Caenorhabditis elegans: one gene and its partner. The gene in region 2 interacts genetically with the main gene of each other region. Each region holds a gene or a part of one and is shown on either strand. Other genes may lie near its edges.

Region 1 (4,876 bases), on a different chromosome or scaffold from region 2:
TTCTTGCAACATACCCACCCTAATGCTCGTTTCGCCTTCCCACATTTTTTCCACCATTTCTGCGTCTCATTTTCTTGCGTGGGCATCCGCGGTCCCTCTTTGCCCGGCGCCTCTTGGATTTTGCTTTTTCTTTTTTTCCCTGGATGTTGCGTCTAGTTTTATCTGAAATGACCTTTAGGCACATTGCTAATCGTATTTCATTTTTTGGTTCCTCAAATTATTTTTTTTGAAAATAATTTTATTTGTCTGATAAGTGATCTTAAATGTAACTGATATTTTTTTAAAGTTGGATTCAAAATGAAAACATTTTCTAAAAATGGTTTTTTCAATTTAATTTTATTTAGTATTTCAGTACTTTCCTTTTTCCATTAATCAGTTGAATAGGAGATGTAATTTTTATTAAGTTTAATTTTACATTTTGTATTAAACTTATTCAAAAATAATTAATTTTTTTCCCTAAGTTAGTCAAAAATATTTTTTAAAACTTTTTTAATACTTTTGAGATAAATTTTTAGATTTTTTATTTCACTTTCGTGATTGTTCCATTTTGCAACATTATTCTGCATCAAAATACATTTTGAAAACATTGAAAGTTCTTCAAATGCCGCAACTCGATTTTATTTTAATTTCATCAATTTTCTTGGCCGAATATCAAATTTCTATCTGAAAATTAACTCAATCTTTTTGTTTTTGACTCAGAATTGAGTGCACCACAACTTATTTTTCAATTTCTTACATTCTCTAAAACCTTTTTTTGTTCGTTCCGTGCTGTTTTATTTCAATATTTCACCAGAAATGCATATTCTTCTCAGTAGGTGCAGTTTCATGTGTTGAGTGAATGAGACCACGACATTTTTTACAATTGTTCCGCTTTTTCCCTCCCCATATGCCATCTCAAATCCAAATTTCAAATGCCTTCCTCTCCAGCTTCTCATCTTTCCAATTTAGCAATTTTTCACGTCAAAATGAAACGAATCAGATTTTTGGTGCTAAGCATTAGGATTTGATGAAACAAACACACTATAATCAGAAGTGACAGATTTTCAATTAAATTTTTAGAGATAAATACATAATTTATCAATTTATGCGTGCCAGCAAAAAGGCAGAAATAGTATGAACAGCAGAGTCTACTTGAGACTAAATCTTAGTTCTACTCATCAACCAAGCGGATGAAAACATGATAATGAAAATGTACTTTTATTTCAGTTTAAATTGTAGATATCCACGCACCAGTTAACCCAGTTATCTGGTTTGTTTGTTTTTTTTTTGCTGGTCGTCAAGAACAACTTTCGATGTAGATAACTTTACCGAGCTTCATTCATCAAAAAACATTTTTTTCCCAATTTTTCGTTACAAGTTATAACTGTATATAATATCTAATCAAAAAGAAAAACTTATTTTATAGAGAAAGTTTTGACGAGATCTGTTTTGCCTAATCGAGATGTTTCAATTTTACAAAACTTTGCTCGCAATCAGTAGATATGTTTAAAATTAGCAGTAGCAAAATTTTTTTTTTTCGACTGTTCCACGCAAAAAAAAAAATCACAGCAGAAAAATGACAAAGTATTCACAAATAACGACCTCCCGTCCCCGTTCTTGTGTCTCTTCCGATCTTTTCTTTTGTGGCTGTTGATCACCAGTGTGTACTTTGGAAACTTATTCCTTGCTATTCCATGTTGCTCAAAATCTTGCTTTACTTGCTTTACAAAAACATAATGAAAATTTTTCAGCGCACATTTCGGCGCAACGGGCGCCAATTAAATGGGCACAAATGGAGGAGTCATTGCGGAACAGTCAATGGAAATCGAAACAAATGAAAACCCAGATAAGGTAGAGGAGCCCGTCGTGAGAAGGAAACGAGTAACCCGCAGGGTAAGTGATTTCTAAAATCTCACGGCTTTAAAAAATTGTATACCGAGAAGAGCCAGTACAAACTGTGTAAAGCAATCAAAAATGTGAAAATTAGTATAAATCGGCAAAAAGGTGAACAAATTGGATATTTACAAGTTATTTATAACAAACTTAAAGTTGAAACCGTATTTATAATTTTTTTCTCATCAGCTAAACAGAAGACCAAAGTATCAATAAAAGCTTGTGGGAATAGATGCAGAATAGTCTTGTAGAAATGACCTTTTTTGCAAAATATATTGCATCATTTTCACAAGAATGTGTTAACATTTATGTTTAAACCTCAGTTATTTTGTAGAAGTTTCGAACAAATGGTATTGAAATTTTCTTAGAGTTGATACTCATCAATTTTATTTAGTCTTAACTTACAAAGCCACTTCAAGCCTATCTACTGGTGTCAGTAAAAAAACACAAAATATGTAGTAACGGCATATCATGGTAGAACAATTTTCAAAATGTTCTCAATTTCATATTTGGTTTGAAAACTGAAAAATTCGACCATTCTGGTACAATCGGCATTATGAAACAATGTCCTCTCTGCAGCTATTTCCCCTTTTCCACTCAAAAATGTGTCGGAAATAAAATCTTACTTTCTAAAGTATTCGTAGAGCTTAAACGTTTAACTGTTATAAGTAACACATAAATATGTCTGCTTCTTTCTCAAAGAACAGCACTGATTTTAGAACGTTGACATGTCATCTTCGGCGGTCTGTGTCTAAATGTTCGATTTGTAGCGATAAGCGTTAGAGTGGCCAATATTTTCTGAGAACAAAAAGGAGTCATATTCTTATCATCTCTTTTCGTGCGTTTTCTATCTTTTGTGTAACCGTACCCTCCCACCACTTGTTAGCAGCAACATTTATTCTCTCTGAATTTCTACATCAAAAGTGCAATTTGGGGGAGTTGAAAACTGTTCGACCCTCCCAGCGCCGAAATCGACGGCTATCTTAACGGGGCGCCGAGATGAAGTAGGCAAAACAGATCATTGCAACAACACATACAATCGCCATCTATACTCTCACAGTGCCATGTATAGTAACTCTTTCCACAATTTCCACAAACTTCCATTCTATCCAACTCCATATTACTTTTCTGCTGTTTCTTACGAAACTCCTATTCAAACGTCAAAAACTCCGGGTTCAGCAAGTGTAATTGATGTTGAAAAGATTGACGACGATGATAAATCGTCAAGCCCAGCAAGTGTAATTAAAAATATCATAAATAATATTTAAATAATTTTTTTTATTTCAGCGCCACAGGCGGATACACAGCAAGAATAACTGCTTGACACCTCCAAACAGCGATGACGACGTTAGTTTGTTATTATGTTTTTTCAATCAGGTTAGATTATTATGACTTGACTCAACCATTGCACCAAGATGAAACTTTTTGTTGTTTTTGTGGTTGGCGGTAGTATTCTATAACTTTAAATTGCTAAACGATTTTCTTTTCTTCAATCAAGAATCTTATTGGATTTGAATTATTGGAGCTACATATATTTTCAGTTCATTGAATTTAATGCTCTATATTTTTGTGTGTATTCAGAAAACATGGTGTTAACAAATGAATATAATAACACTCTAAAGGACATTTAGTTATCAAACTTTAATTCAGTTTTAGAAATTTGTAATAAGCTTCTATTATAAGTTCAAAAAGTTCCATTCTGATCCGATCCTTCTTCTTATTGATTGTTTCTCATCAATTAGTCTTCATCTCTTTTTCGAAGTTCGGCGTATGTTTTGTGCAGCGTTAAACTCACGCCATTTTGCTGACGGGGAATTGTTTAGAAGTGAGTGGAGAGGAAAGAAGAACTGATGTTCTTGAGTGTGATGTGCTCTCAACATTCGAGAAAATGATGAGAGAAATTTCATGTGTTGAAGATACAAAATGCGCTCAAGATAATGGTGGACTTTTACTTCTACATCTAAACGCTTTTTCAATGAAACCTGTACTGGAAAAATTCGAAAGGAAAAATTCTGGAAAAGTCGTTCAGCTTTTACGATACCTGAAATAAATGAACTCATAGTGAGCTCTAGTTGAAATTATTCGGACCAACTAGGTCTGAAACAAAGAAGCTGTATTCTTGCCAACAACGATCAAAGTTTAAAGTCCAGTGTCATCATCGTCATCTTCAATATCTCAATTTTCATCTTCAAACAATCAACCTATCCACAACCTGTTCGGAACGCCAAACTACGGTAATCAGCGCCGGTGTTTTGATAAAGCGATAAGCATAAGTGCTCACACTTACTTCTTACTTACAATTAAATTCGCTTCCTTTTTGGGCCGTTCCAAGGTCAAACGGTGAAACACACGCACCGTACATATACACAGGACGCACTGAAGTTTTTGCTACTGCTGCCTGTTGTGTCGTCGTTCGGCCCCGATTTTTTTAAGTGTGTGTGTTCCATATTACCGCAAAAACTTGGGACCACGCCTCTCACAACACCTACTTTCTCAATTATTCCGAAAACAACAATGAAGTGCTGATGATACCATTCTACTATATACTTCCGGACGTCTATACTTCATTCCGAACACAAAAATCAAAAAATGACACTCGAAGCAAATGTGGCGGCACTTTCGAAATTCATGTCATTCGACAAAATGCTTGCAGCATTACGGGTGAGTAAACGTGAAGATTATTCAAATTGCCTTGAACAATCCAGAACAAGTAACCGTTTTTGACTCATTATTGTAACACTTTTTCTCAATCTTAAATGTTCAAACGTTCAAGTGTTCTTTTAGTTTGCAATTCCCACAAGTTTGGACATGTAGTTGTAAAATGTCAGTCACGCTTTTTCAAAATTATTCAATTAGTGCTCACGAGAATCAGTGAGCACCACCACATGATCTCCTTACACTCATCTCCTTTATTTTTTGATTATCTTTTTTTTTTTGTTTGTTTTCAGTGTATCACTAAAATAGTTTAGTTTTTTAGAATAATGTACAGTTTATAAGAAGTTCC
Region 2 (3,848 bases):
GTTCTTTGAATTTTTTGTATTTTCACCTCTACATATTCTTATCAAATTCTCTTAGTTCTCTAATTCCGTCTTCTTATCTTTTCCATTTTACCTGCCACGATTTTGCCGCTGTCCTGTCCTCCCGACTACTATCCGCCCGTGTCAATTGGTGAAAAACTAAAAAAGAAAAAGATAGAAAGAAGAAATGATATTGAGTACTTTGAGCTCAGCTGTTTGTTCGGGTGACGTAATTCATACAATCACGGGCGGCTGGGACAGGACAGAGAACAGAGTATTGAGTAGATTTAGAGAAGCAGAGACAACTGTTCTAGATTTAAGATTGACAATAATTAATTGAATTCCATTGCATTATAGGAACACACAAGTATAACATACCATTTTTCAGCCCTACCCAATCTACCATCCAACGCTTACATGGAGCCAAATCGTACCTAATTTGAATTCACGTGGCCGTGATCTTTTACAGGTAACTTTTTTCCAATAAAAATTATACTTACTCAAACTCGAAGTATTTGCAGAAACTTCTTGTTTGCAATCCAGCAGGAAGAATCGATGCCGATGCAGCTCTACGCCATGCGTACTTCGCAGACACTTCTGACGTCTAACTATTCACTATTGCACTTTCCTACTCACATTGTTTTCTCGCTTTCCCTGGCATTCACTTCCCCCACTGACCCCAAATGAACCTCATTGCTTGCGAAACAAAATCTCATCGTTAATAAACGGCTACGGTTTGAAATCTTTCTGTGGCACATAATTGAACGAAGGGAAAATCAACAACGTTTTATTGTTGTTCGAGTAATTTTAAAGATCAACGGCAAACACAGGTGCAATAACCGAGATTGTCAAACCGAGTCCAGATAAAGGGGCTATCCTAACGAATGTTCAATCGGGGTGTTGAGGGAAAGAATGAGAATTTGAAAAGGGGAAAACTTTAATAGAGGATTTAAAACTTTTTATGTGGCTCGCTTTATTTTTGAAAACTTAACATAGTAGCTAGGTGAACTACTTTGCTAAAACAAGCTACATAACGAGATTTTGTTGGACAATGACAAGGTAAAAATTATCAAAGTGTTATCAAATTTAAAGGAACTTCTGGATTTCGTCGTAGATGGCCAAGACGAGGGCTCCTCCGGTTCCACGGAAGACGTTGGAGAGGGCTCCCTTGAACATAGCGGACATTCCTTCGTTTTGGATGATCTTCTTTGCGCAATCGAGGGTGTTTTTGTAGAGGATATCCTTGCGTCCAGACTGCATCATCATACGACGACGAACAGTGTCCCATGGGTAGGAAAGGATTCCAGATCCGACTGTGACAACTTGAGCAATTCCCCAAGCGGCGAAGAAGTTGAGTTTCTGTCCATCAGAAGCGAAGACCATCTTGGCGGTATCGAACATTCCGAAGTATGCGGCACGGTAGATGATAATTCCTTGCACGGAGACGAAGAATCCTCTGTAGAGTCCGATTGGTCCATCGGATTTCACGATCTTGATAAGGCAGTCAGCAAGTCCCTTGAATTCACGGTCGTTGGCCTTTCCAATATCAGCAGCAAGACGGGTACGGGCAAAGTCGAGTGGGTAGACGAAGCAGAGGGAGGTGGCTCCAGCAGCTCCTCCGGAAGCCAAGTTTCCTGCGAAGAACCTGAATTTCAAATGTGAAATTTTCTAAAAACAATAATGCAATGTTTAACTTACTTCCAGAAGTCCTTCTTTTTGTCGAGTCCCTCAAGGAAGATTGCCTTGTATGTGTCCTTGAAGGCGAAGTTCATGGCCTGAGTTGGGAAGTACCGGATGACGTTAGCGAGGTTTCCTCTCCAGAGGGCAGCAACTCCTTGCTCCTTTGGGACACGGATGAGAACATCCATGATTCCCTTGTAACGCTTGTCAACGGCGATAGCCTTGGAAGCATCTTGGACCTAAAATTTTTCATATTTATAGTGGAAAAAAGTTTCATCACACACCTGGAGGAGAAGCTTGACACGCTCAATTGGGGCAACAGCGGTCTTGGAGACGGCAGCAGCGGTACCTAAAAGAAAACAAAATTAATTAAATCACAAATTTGACGAATGAAAACCCAAAATTAATAATTATAGAAATCCTCCAAATTTTTGCAATAAAAACTGAAAAAGCTTACCTCCTGAGGCGAGATCGATCAAGAACTTTTTGGTGTCGAAGGACTTTTCTTTGGACATGATTCAAGATTGAAGGACCTCGGTGGTCGGTGCTTGCCAGAAGCAATAGTGGGAAGACGGCCGCCCGTCGAAACGGGGTGCGCGCACAGCCCGTGAGGCACTTTGCAGGTCTCGCCACGCTCGCAAGTACGGTGCGTCAGGCGCGGCGATTCAAACACTAGTTTTCTCTGACCGCCCAGTTTTGGGATTTTTTGCATATTTTGAGCCTAAATATCAGTTTTGTTATCGATTTTTCGTATTTTTCTTTTCTAAACGTGTTCGTTCCTTCATTCCTGAATTTTTCACGTTTTGTTTTATTAAAAAAACGTGATTTATTTTCGAAAAATAGGTCATAACTCCAAGAAAGTAACTTAATTGCGAAAGTTTCAGTTTTTATGAAAATTATGAGCCATGTCAAAGCAAACACAATAGTGTATTAGTGATAAGCAGTACTTGAAGTGTTTTTTGTTTATTTACACTGTAGATAACTGGTTATTCGTAACCTCAATGTTCCGAAAAAAATCGATATCGCATTGTGGCTAATTTATGCCTACGGGAGTTTGGTATGACCGGTTTTTCGAATCGCTTTAAAGTAGTTTTCTTCATATTTCTCTTCTCATCGAGCCAATGACTTGTCACTATCATGGAATTTTTTTCGGGTATCAGTATGTCGAGCCACAAGGAAGAGCCACTCGAGGCTGACGTCGATCAACTTACTCAATACCGTGAGCGATGTGCCGACCATGTCACCGAATTCAAGAGTATTCTCGACGAGTGCAACGATCGTGTCAACTCTCGTTCTAACACTGAGGAGACCTGCCATCAGGAGATGGCTGACTACGTTCACCATTTGGATCACTGTGCCATGCCAAAGGCCTTCGCTTCGTTGAAATAATATTTCTTTTCCTGCTTTTTTTGAGGATTTCTCGTCTAGTTTATGTGAATTTTCGCTCTCGTATTTTTTATCCGTCGCTTTTTCCGTGTATTTGAGAGATAAATAAATAAAAATTTAGGGTACCCCATCCGCATCACTGCTGGACAACAATGCCGTCTGATGCGAAGAAAGCACGCGAGGCCGCTAAGAAGGCTGCCGCCAAAGGAGGAAAAGGAAAAAAGAAGGTGAGCAATTGATTTTTAGTTTTTTTTTGTTTAACAAATAATAATCATCTCATTTCCAGGTAGAAACACCAACCGCCATGTCATCTCAACATCCGTCCGTCAACAGTCTCTGCTGTTTAGACGAGGAGCTCGATCAGGCCGCCGCCACCTTGGCCAAAATCGAATTGGAAAACGCTGCTGCTCGTTCAGTCGCCGGATCATTGACTTCCGATCCAAAGGGTCTTGATCACAGAGTAGAAAGCCTGACGGTAAGTGGTTTTTAATTGGCGACTCCAACAAGTAACTTTGTTTTCATTCAGATTACATTCCACGGTCGTGAAATTGTCGTTGACACGAAACTCGAACTCAACCGTGGACGTCGTTACGGACTCATCGGATTGAACGGATCTGGAAAGTCTACCATCATTCAGGCAATCTACAACAAGGAAATGCCAATCCCAGAGTCCGTGGATATGTACCTCGTATCCCGTGAAATGCCTGCTTCAGAGAAAACTGCTCTTCAAGCGGTCGTTGATGTCGATTCAGTCAGAAAAGAGTTGGAACATCTTGCCGAGCAGC

Evidence for each region.
Region 1: of ant-1.1 (region 2) and daf-12, changing one suppresses a phenotype caused by changing the other (phenotypic suppression), as found in Caenorhabditis elegans (one study listed by BioGRID).

Annotation. Positions count from the first base shown.
Region 1 is NC_003284.9:10,642,679-10,647,554, forward strand, and holds the start of daf-12 (Nuclear hormone receptor family member daf-12), read left to right. Parts: upstream 1-1,761; coding exon 1,762-1,872; intron 1,873-3,159; coding exon 3,160-3,219; intron 3,220-4,876. UniProt on the Caenorhabditis elegans protein: Nuclear receptor which binds directly to response elements in target gene promoters. Activity is modulated by binding of steroid hormone ligands that include dafachronic acids.
Region 2 is NC_003281.10:13,461,575-13,465,422, reverse strand, and holds ant-1.1 (ADP/ATP translocase), read right to left. Parts: upstream 2,261-3,848; 5' UTR 2,193-2,260; coding exon 2,135-2,192; intron 2,027-2,134; coding exon 1,962-2,026; intron 1,917-1,961; coding exon 1,696-1,916; intron 1,643-1,695; coding exon 1,084-1,642; 3' UTR 771-1,083; downstream 1-770. Other genes in the region: cdk-5 (Cyclin-dependent-like kinase 5), read left to right, coding at 386-466, 519-605; T27E9.2 (Cytochrome b-c1 complex subunit 6), read left to right, coding at 2,839-3,066; abcf-2 (ABC transporter domain-containing protein), read left to right, coding at 3,216-3,290, 3,350-3,538, 3,590-3,848.